3 linked regions of the Saccharomyces cerevisiae S288C genome follow. Changing the gene in region 2 together with the main gene of any one other region gives a genetic interaction. Each region holds a gene or a part of one and is shown on either strand. Other genes may lie near its edges.

Region 1 (3,585 bases), on a different chromosome or scaffold from region 2:
TACGTGAACATGAAAAACTAAATAAAGACTCAGATAATAATGTTAATGGCACTAATAGTAGCAACAAAAATGAAAGCATGACTGTGGATTCATTAAAGATCATTGAAGAACTTTTAATGATCGATTCAGACGTTACAGAAGTGGATAAAGATACTGGTAAGATCATAGCCATCAAGCACGAGCCATACTCTCAACGTTTCGGAAGCGATACTGACGATGACGATATAGATCTCAAGCCCGTAGAAGGTGGTAAGGATCCAGACAACCAATCATTACCCAATTCTGAAAAGATAAAATAACAAAGTTTTGGTGAGCACAACGGTGTTTCATTCAAGAATGATAAGGACAACTATATATGTAATATACGTGTATAAATACTCGAGCTGCATCCTTTCTTTTCTGCCGTTATTATTTCGTTTAGTTACTACATTTATGGTATAAATTACCTTTAAGACATTATTATTTTGCATGTATGAAATTTGCTCGTGTCAACCCCTTAGTCCTCCTTGCCTCTGTTGTATGGAGGAAGCCCTTTAAACCTGTATTTAGTTTTTTAAATCTATTAGAATTAAGTACAATTGTACAGATGGTAAAAAAAAGTAATCGTTATATCGTTTGTCAGTGATTTTTTTTTTTTTATTTCATTCATTATTTATTTCTTATTTTTCAATTTGTTCCCTTATTGGGGCAAACCACGGGTGTCCCATCGCTTCCTTAGCAGTTAATCTTTCTTGATGATCATATCTCAAAAGATTGTCAATAAGGTCAATAATTTCATCGTTGCCGCTTAAATGTTTATTACCATCATTGATGAATCTATGCCAAGGCTTTCTGATGTATTGGTCCATATCGTAAAATTCTCTCGGTAAGGTAATTTCATACTTCAACAGGTATTTCTCAAAATCGCTTGTACCAAGTACTTTGACGATCTTGACAAGCTGGTCTGTGTTACTCGTTCCATGGAAAAATGGCTCTCTTTTAAAGATCATAGAAGCCAACATTGTCCCAAACGACCACAAGTCTAAAGAATAATCATACATTCTGTAGTCAACTAGTAGTTCAGGACCCTTAAAAAACCTCGACGCAACACGAACATTGTATTCCATATTAACATGATAAAATTCAGCAAGCCCCCAATCTATCAATCGCAATTTTTTATTCTTATGATCAATCATTACGTTATGAGGTTTAACATCTCTATGCATTATTCCCATTGAATGACAATAGTCTAAGGCCTTTAATAACTCAAACATATAAAACCTAATTTCGAGATCGGTTAATTTAGGGTAAAGAATACGGAAGTCCACATTATCTACGTATTCGAAGACCAAAGCCGGAGTTTTTGAGATGGGATCCTTTATTATATCAAATAGATGAATTATGTTTGCATGACCATTGTGTGGCTGATCAAAGATATAGGGCCTGATGAATTTTAAAACGTCCTCCTTTTGATTTGTGTAATATTGATCTTTTTGAAATGGCAAAGTCGTTGGAGGCACTTTTTCGTTAGACAAATCCGTTAAGATTTTGATTTCTCTCTTGATCTTCTTCTTTTTAACTGGTTTCAACATCTTAATAACAATTTTAACTTTAGAGTCTAATTTGACACCTTGGAAAACCTCGGAGTATTTTCCTCGCCCAACTTTATTTTCAATTTCATAGTCCTTTGTATTTGTGGACCAATCAATTACAGTATTTTCATAATCCCAATATTCCTCGGTTCTTTGTTTATTGATATTCGTATAAACACGAGCCTCTGACCATACCCTGCATTTCATAGTTCGAATCAAATATTCCTTCTACAACCCCCTATTTTTGTCTGTATATTTGACTTCTTAAGTCCCTATTCAGAAAACTCCTAGTAGGTAATTGCAATACACCGAGTATCAACAGTATATGAAGTCCCTTAATCCGTTTTACTACAGGACTGCGAGGTTCGTCTAATTGCTACTGAAATTTTCCAAGCGTTGGTCATATTTTTGATTTTTCGCTTTTTCTTCAGTGTTCGTTCCGAGTGATTTTTGATAGCGCTTTTCTACCACTTAGTGCTGCTGTATGTATTTATATGATATACCAGCGATACATGTAAATATTTCTATAAAGACTGTAAACCTCTGATTACCTCTGCCTGTGCGTCTTTATTCGCTTCCTCAGCAGAGGAAGCAATGGCTGCGTTCTTTGTTTGGTGGAAGATATCTCTTGTCTTTTCGAAATAAACAGTTTCCAATAGATTTCTCATCTGAGACTCAATGTCCTCAATTAAGGAACCCAAATTAGCGACATGTGATGTGAAAATAACATCTAATGGACGGGACATATCAATAGCGATGTCCTTTTCGGTCTGTCTTGTCAGGTTCCCGGATAACATCATATGAGAATTCTGGTCAGTTTTTGTTTTGTCCAAGTGCAGAATGATTGTAGTGGTGACTCTATAGTTGAAACTGTCGGGAGAAGAAGGAGATGTTGTAACTTCAAAAACATGGATACTGTCCCAATTACTGTGATCTGATTGGTTTTTTTTGAAAAGCACTACCCCTGCAAAATCGTGCCCATTGAAATCTTCTTCATTGAGGTCCCAGAGGTACACGCTGGAGATACCGCCTTCATAATAGAGATCTCTGTAAACGTCGAAAGAGTCATTGGCTAAGATCTCCAATTTTCTTAAAGGGGCTGAGGGAAAGGGGCTGTCTTGTAGATCCTTTGGGGATAGTTCTGGGTAATAAGTGTTCGACCAAGGCGATCTGAACGAATCAATATCACGATTATAGTCGCAGCATAAGTACTCCCGGTTTGAATCGGCGGAATCTTTCTGTGTGGATAGGGGAACGTCTACTGAAGATAGTAAATCTTGTGCCAAATTTGGTTGTAATTCGATCAAGTTGTTTAGATTCTCCTGTAACGTGGTAGGATTTAGCCTCCTAAGAAGATCTAAAGCAGCATCGAATTGAGCATCAGACATTACGGTGGTGATTGTAGAGTTGGAGAGAGTTTTTGTATGTCACTTGATTGAACAGTTCTCCTTTATTTGTTACAAATGCTCTCATTTTTACGTTTTCCGTGGTGAAAAAAAAAAAAAAAAATGAACATATATACATGTAGTAACAGCAGTAGTAGATGAAGAATTTAGAGTTTAAACAGGTAACATAACGCTATAAGGGAAAGGAAAGTGGAGATGTTATACATTATATTTACGTAGACGTTGAAGGAAGAAGAAAGAAAAAGGGAACAGAAGAAGAAGAAAAAGAGAAAGGAAATTCATGTGGATTTAAGATCGCTTCCCCTTTTTACTTAATGTCTTGTAGGATCATTGAGCTTTAATACGTCTACTGCAGGACCCAGTAAACGTTGAAAACCACTTTTCCCCAATGTGGCAACTTTGGTTCTCTTTGTAGCAGTCACAGTGGCCTGTCTGGGCAAATCGTTTAGCAAGGCCACTTCACCGAAATAATCATGGTCTTTCAGTTTATTTATGACACCTTGGCCCTTCTTAGAGACGTCCACAGCTCCGTACTCAATTAAATAAAAGTTCTCCCCTTGATCACCCTCGCGAATGATTGTTTCACCCGGCTGGTAGATCTTGGTATC
Region 2 (3,759 bases):
GGAACCTTCATTATTCAAGTACTCAATTTTAGTACCATTAGCACGCAAAGAATCGACCAAAGGAGCAATTGGTCTTTGTTGCATTCTTGCGTTACCAGTTAAAACGATATACTTTTGGCTTGAAGTAGAATTGACCAAGGCAGCCAAGGAAGTCAAAAATCTAGATGCAGTACCTGCATTACCTAGATATAAGGGGTCAGCACAAGCTGACAATGTGGAACCACCATGTCCTTCCACCACTACCGTCTCACCATTATCTTCCCATGATATCGTAGCACCTTTCAATTCATGAACAGCGGTTAACATATGTTTAGTATCATCAGAATGTAATAAGTTCTTGATTTTACATTGACCTTCACCGAGGGCAGCAAGAATTAAAGCACGATTGGAGATGGACTTAGAACCAGGGGGGATAACAACTTTCTGTTGATCAGCAGGGATGTCCTTGAAGGGGTAAACGAGGGTTTCATCTGTTAGAATAAATCTCAGGTCTTCATCGCTAACAAATTGAGCGGAGTCACCATAGCACTTACCAATACTTTCTAAAATGACCACCTTCTTTTTGGAACCCTCGTTTTTCTTGTCAATACTCATTTTCTTCAATAAGATATCCAATGGTGTTTTCTTATGTAAGGTTAGCTCTTTAAACCATTTCTCATCAGGCGAAACAGGCAACCCGTAGGCAACCAAAATCTTGGATAGACGTGCAACTTGGGTAGGGGAGAGAATACCGAAATAACGGGATAATTCCGCCTCTTTAACCATACCAATGGACACACATTCACCATGTAATGCTTGTGGGGTTAGTATAGCTTCATAAGCATGACCAATAGAATGTCCGAAGTTCAAAAGGTTTCTTAGACTGGATTCACGTTCATCCGAAGAGACAACTTCCGCTTTGACCTTAATACTCTCAAGAACTAACTTATATGTATGATCCAACATAGCTTCAATATCTGTATTCGATATCTCGTCAATCTCGTTTGTCAATTGATTGGTAACCTTGACATTTTTTGCCCCATTAACAACATTTAAGAACAACGAAGCGTTTGATTCTAATCTAGTAAATTCGTCAGCGTTCCAAATACAAGCAGTCTTGATAACTTCTGCCATCCCATTGATAAACTCTCTCTTGGCTAACGTTTCTAGCCATTTAATATCTACAAGGACAAATTTTGGTTGCCAAAATGCACCAATAAAGTTTTTACCTAGAGGAGTGTCAATAGCAGTTTTACCACCAATGGAGGAATCGACCATTGCCAATAAGGATGTTGGTACTTGGACAACACGAACACCTCTCATAAATGTAGATGCAACGAACCCAATCATGTCACCAATAACACCACCACCGATCGCTACCATAACCGTATCACGAGTACATCCTTCCACTAAAAGATAATCTTCTAGCTGCGCTTTGGTTTCTCTACTTTTACTTGTCTCACCTGGTTTAACAACATAAGTAAGTAAACGAGAGCCTTCTGGCAAAGAAGCCTTGAATTCCAGGACTAATTGCTGGTAGTATGGAACTTTACTCAAGTTCGTATCATTGCAAATAACGTATGTCGAAGAAGGACAATGTTTAATTATGGTTTCAACCAAATGGTCATGAATGTTATACCCAACGTGGATAATATCATTTCCTAGAATTGGGACTTTGGCTAACTGCACCATCGTAATATACAATTATCTTACGTAGGGATTTCTCAACTAGGAGATTATATAAACTTGAACGACCGAGTATAGCTGTGATCTGTTACTAATGGTTACGAGTCGGCGTCCTACCTTCTATATTAATAAACCGCTTGTATAATGAATTTGTTCGACATTTGCGGTTAGAATCTATGGCGGTGAGAAAAAACCGAGTGAAAAAAAATTTCATGTTCGGGATGAGTCATATGCATGACAATTTACTATATTAAATCTGTGAGATTGGCCAGGAAGGTACCTTTGTCATATATATTGGGAATTTCGGACGCGTCTTTAATCGTGATGTAGTGTGTAAGGTTGTAGTGCTTATGGTCGTAGGCATTCGTGCTATAAAACGTAACATGTTGATCTTGGAGTGGTTCAGCAGCGTCATCTTTTTGTTCTGTGCATTTGAAAAACCAAGATGGGCAATCATCATCCAATGATCTCACCAGTTTTCCTTCTCTCATATACTCTTGAATGGTATACCATTTATCTTGCTCATTTGTAGTCATTCCCTCCTTTACAATGGCCAATTGAAGATACGTGAAAATAGCGCAGATGATAGTGAAGCATCCACATAATATGGTAAGAGTCAGAACAGCTCTAGGGAGCGTACTTGTGCTATTTAAAGAAATGTACCACAGCCTTAGAAAGGCGTAGCACATCGAGAATATGTTGGAAATTAGGAAAAGGTAGAATTGAAGGTAGTTTCCCTTTCCGATGCAGTTATTTATCCAGATGCAATGATGGTCGGCGACGAGAACGCATCGGTTGCAAATGCTACAATGTTTGGATCTAGCAGGCTTGACGATCCGGCATGTCGAACACTTTATGGCAGGATAATACAATAGGTAATCATATGGATATTCCTCTGTCGAGCCTGATTTATGATCCTTTGAATCCTCAGCTCTGCTTACCATGGCTAGAATTCCTAATGCTACCGGCGGTAGTATAATTATAGGCACGATCAGTATTCGTTCTAAAAGGAATAGCTCATTCTTAATCGTAGACTCCACTCTCATGTGGTATGTATATACTAGGTACAGGTAAATAGAGGTGTAGAAAAGAGGTACTAAATGCAACTTCCAACGATATTTTTGGTCATCCACTAGGAAGGGCTGAAACACATTACGATAGAAAGTCGAAAATGGCCATGTTGACTTGAAGACGGGCGAAAGTAATATCAAAACTACGAATCCTATTAGCAGCACAAATAGTAGATTCCATGACATTGTTTGTTCTTTTCATGTTAGGAGACAAAGATATCTTCTTTGGAGGCATAATGAAGTTTTTTTTAGGAAGGCGGAAGTATATATACAATGACACTACCTTTGTTGATAGCTACGAATTTCCTAAAGAGAAAGTATATTGTAGTATTTATATGAGTTGCATAGTACGTTATTCAAGGATAAAATGCCGAATAAATGCTTTAGATGATTTAAAATTCTGTATCGGATGGTTTTAATTAAAAAGTTTCGTTGGAGGTTTTCACCTCATTTTTGAAAAATAAAAATTCAGACCAAAACATTAATTATTTTGGCTTTGAATATACTGACCTCCTGGAAAGCCCTTGGACATTACTAAAATTGAGACAACTGTTTCGATTCCAGCTTAGAACTCCACAGAGCTTCACATGTTTTACACCTCTATTTATATATTCTGACAGTTTCCTTATGCCTTTCCAGTTTAAGGATGAGCGAATGAAAAATGCTTTTAATAAAGAGGTACTTGATGGACCCTGAAAGTTTAAGGAGGCAGATAATGAATGTATATAAATGTTACATGTGGAAGAGAGCGTTCCACAGTAATAGAAGCCTACTGGAAGTTAAACGTCGTGAAAAGAGTCTCCAGAGAAAAATTTTGGAAAGGATTCTTAGACCCAAGGAGGAAAATGCTGTCAAAAAATCTGGATTCAAGCTATGGTCAAGCCATTTGAATAACCCACACAAAACTTATATGCGGCTGGAGGAATTACAGAGACGTATTATGGAAGAGGTACACGTTGAAGGTATTAAAAAGAATGATAAGTTATTCAACGAAATAAATCAATGGCATTTCCAAAATGAAAAC
Region 3 (3,759 bases), 710 kb from region 2:
AAAGGCCTCGGACTAATTAACTGACCCTTCGCCAAGAGTGCGAGCCTTAGTATCTAGACGTCTCGCAGGACCGTAACCTTCGAGGAGACCTAGAAGAAGCCACTCGGGCACGAACTCGCCAGGAACACGGTAGTACTTGAGCCTAGGGACGACGAAAATGAGCGTCTCGAGGGCGTGAGTCAGGAACTCGGCAACAATGATGAGTCGCAGCACAAGATCACTATCCAGCCACGCCTCTAAGGTGGAGCCCACAGGATTAGGGACCAGGAAAAAGATAGCGTGCAGTGCAGGACGATAGAGGTAGCACAATGGCGGTAGCGCCACGCCTACCAGGATCAACAAGTCTACTAGAGTGCAGGGGTACTCAACAGTGTCGATCTGGATGAGCGACAGCTTCCTCTTCTCCGCAGCGATGCGGAACATCTTGTTGAAGATTTGCTTGATTCCGGTAGCAGTGCGGGTATCGTTGCCCGTGTCATTGTCAATGAAGTAGATAATCTTCTCGATGTTCTGACCCGTTTCTGTGTGAAGGAACTTGAGCGTAAACGTGGACGTCTGCGTGTCGATCTCTGTCAGTCTGACATGCTTGACGGCCTTGGTAATGGGAACGTGGCCAAAAACGGCGAGACAATCCTCCAGCCCCAACTTGTGCGTATCGTTGATGCTTACAATTAACGAATCCCACATACTTGTGTATACCCGTATACTTGCTTGAGTTGATAGAACGCACGCTCTCGCCGATATAAGCCTCCACTCTTTATATATACCATATCCAAATAGGTGTGCACTTTGTGGCAAGGAGTAATTATAAACGAACAGAATATCCCGACCACATGGCAAGACCAAGAAAGTTCAAGACTGCGCAAGAAACGGCAGAACAGAAGCTGCTCACTAACTTCAACCTTGTAACTGAATTCGTAGGGTTAAAACTCCACCACGTTTGTAGCGGAGCAATGTCGCCTTTAAGAAGTCGCTAGCTATCTCTTTCGCCTCCGTATAGCAATCATTGTCTAATGCAATCCGCCATCGTTATGTCCGCGGCTTTTGTCTGGAGGGCAAATCACGATAGGAAGAGGCATCTTCTGTAGTAAAGGCGTCTGTAGTAAAACCTTTTCTTGGAAGCCATAACAAATCATGGCCACCAATGCCTGGCAAAAAAGGGTGGCATTGAAGGGAAATTTCAAAGATTTTTTTAATAGAGGCCCTAGGAAAAAACATGTCCGTACGTTTAGATACGGTTATAAACTGTACAATCATTTGCTATCAAATGCTGAACCTTCCCCAAGGGACTAAAAGCTGGAAATGGCAGTGTGCTACTATTTCTTTTAGTCGTATATTTAACTCTCGATCTTGCAGGCTATGATGTCCCATATGATGTCCCACATGACGCAAGTAACTTCAAAAAAAGAGGAATTGCGTGGCGGCGTGGATGCAAAAGGATGGGCGTGATGATGGGACTCGAGACCTGGTTTTACTCAATGTTAGTCATATGTATATAGTCCTTATAGGCCCATATTAGAAAGTACATGTCATAGTTACCCTCTGCAGTTTTTCTCGTAGCGGAAGGGGATGGAAATTTTTAACGTAAAAGAAAGTTGGTAAGAGTATGGCACATCAACAGGTAGCGTTATAGGGGCCAAGACATAGCTTTGGGCTTAGTACTGTAGGCTTGTTACCAGAACTTTCATTTATCGAAATATTCTTTTTTCACATTTCCTCTTACTGCGCATTCGTGTCCAAACAGTCATTCAGGAAGTATAACGATAAACAATAGATTGAAGCCTGAAAAAAAAAAAAAAAGCACGACAATAGAAATTGTTTCAGTGTCATTGGCTTTTGATAATATATAGAGGCTGTTTCAATAATCATAGCGAAAGAAATAGAAGTTTTTTTTTGTAACAAGTTTTGCTACACTCCCTTAATAAAGTCAACATGAGCAGTAACAACAACACAAACACAGCACCTGCCAATGCAAATTCTAGCCACCACCACCACCATCACCACCATCACCACCACCATCACGGTCATGGCGGAAGCAACTCGACGCTAAACAATCCCAAGTCGTCCTTAGCGGATGGTGCACATATCGGGAACTACCAAATCGTCAAAACGCTGGGAGAGGGGTCCTTTGGTAAAGTTAAATTGGCATATCATACCACTACGGGCCAAAAAGTTGCTCTAAAAATCATTAATAAGAAGGTTTTGGCAAAGAGTGATATGCAGGGCAGAATTGAAAGAGAAATATCTTATCTGAGACTCTTAAGACACCCCCACATCATCAAACTGTATGATGTTATCAAATCCAAAGATGAAATCATTATGGTTATAGAGTACGCCGGGAACGAATTGTTTGACTATATTGTTCAGAGAGACAAAATGAGCGAGCAAGAGGCAAGAAGATTTTTCCAGCAGATCATCAGTGCCGTCGAGTACTGCCATAGGCACAAAATTGTCCATAGAGATCTGAAGCCTGAAAACTTACTACTAGATGAGCATCTGAATGTAAAGATTGCCGATTTTGGTTTGTCAAACATCATGACTGATGGTAATTTCTTAAAGACTTCTTGTGGTTCTCCCAATTATGCGGCTCCTGAAGTTATCAGCGGTAAGCTGTACGCAGGCCCAGAAGTGGACGTGTGGTCATGTGGGGTTATCCTTTATGTTATGCTTTGTCGTCGTCTACCGTTTGACGATGAAAGCATCCCAGTGCTTTTCAAGAATATCAGCAACGGTGTTTACACCTTGCCTAAATTTTTATCTCCTGGAGCTGCTGGGCTAATCAAAAGAATGTTAATCGTTAATCCATTGAACAGAATAAGCATTCATGAAATTATGCAAGACGATTGGTTCAAAGTTGACCTGCCAGAATATCTACTTCCACCAGATTTGAAACCACACCCAGAAGAAGAGAATGAAAATAATGACTCAAAAAAGGATGGCAGCAGCCCAGATAACGATGAAATTGATGACAACCTTGTCAATATTTTATCATCGACCATGGGTTACGAAAAAGACGAGATTTATGAGTCCTTAGAATCATCAGAAGACACTCCTGCATTCAACGAAATTAGGGACGCGTACATGTTGATTAAGGAGAATAAATCTTTGATCAAGGATATGAAGGCAAACAAAAGCGTCAGTGATGAACTGGATACCTTTCTGTCCCAGTCACCTCCAACTTTTCAACAACAAAGCAAATCCCATCAAAAGAGTCAAGTAGATCATGAAACTGCCAAGCAACACGCAAGAAGGATGGCAAGTGCTATCACTCAACAAAGGACATATCACCAATCACCCTTCATGGATCAGTATAAAGAAGAAGACTCTACAGTTTCCATTTTGCCTACATCTTTACCTCAGATCCACAGAGCTAATATGTTAGCACAAGGTTCGCCAGCTGCCTCTAAAATATCTCCTCTTGTAACGAAAAAATCTAAAACGAGATGGCATTTTGGTATACGATCTCGCTCATATCCATTAGACGTTATGGGTGAAATTTATATTGCCTTGAAGAATTTGGGTGCCGAATGGGCCAAGCCATCTGAAGAGGATTTATGGACTATCAAATTAAGGTGGAAATATGATATTGGAAACAAGACAAACACTAATGAAAAAATACCTGATTTAATGAAAATGGTAATTCAATTATTTCAAATTGAAACCAATAATTATTTGGTGGATTTCAAATTTGACGGCTGGGAAAGTAGTTATGGAGATGATACTACTGTTTCTAATATTTCTGAAGATGAAATGAGTACT

What was found.
Region 1: mutations in ARO1 (region 2) and CKA1 together harm fitness more than expected from each alone (negative genetic interaction), as found in Saccharomyces cerevisiae (4 studies listed by BioGRID).
Region 3: mutations in ARO1 (region 2) and SNF1 together harm fitness more than expected from each alone (negative genetic interaction), as found in Saccharomyces cerevisiae (4 studies listed by BioGRID).

Annotation. Positions count from the first base shown.
Region 1 is NC_001141.2:287,131-290,715, forward strand, and holds CKA1 (casein kinase 2 catalytic subunit CKA1), read right to left. Parts: upstream 1,779-3,585; coding exon 660-1,778; downstream 1-659. Other genes in the region: CST6 (Cst6p), read left to right, coding at 1-299; CAP2 (F-actin-capping protein subunit beta), read right to left, coding at 2,096-2,959; cAMP-dependent protein kinase regulatory subunit BCY1, read right to left, coding at 3,289-3,585.
Region 2 is NC_001136.10:702,396-706,154, reverse strand, and holds the start of ARO1 (pentafunctional protein ARO1p), read right to left. Parts: upstream 1,672-3,759; coding exon 1-1,671. Other genes in the region: palmitoyltransferase SWF1, read right to left, coding at 1,911-2,921; ECM18 (alpha/beta hydrolase family protein), read left to right, coding at 3,397-3,759. UniProt on the Saccharomyces cerevisiae protein: The AROM polypeptide catalyzes 5 consecutive enzymatic reactions in prechorismate polyaromatic amino acid biosynthesis.
Region 3 is NC_001136.10:1,410,441-1,414,199, forward strand, and holds the start of SNF1 (AMP-activated serine/threonine-protein kinase catalytic subunit SNF1), read left to right. Parts: upstream 1-1,932; coding exon 1,933-3,759. Other genes in the region: YDR476C (uncharacterized protein), read right to left, coding at 13-687. UniProt on the Saccharomyces cerevisiae protein: Serine/threonine protein kinase essential for release from glucose repression.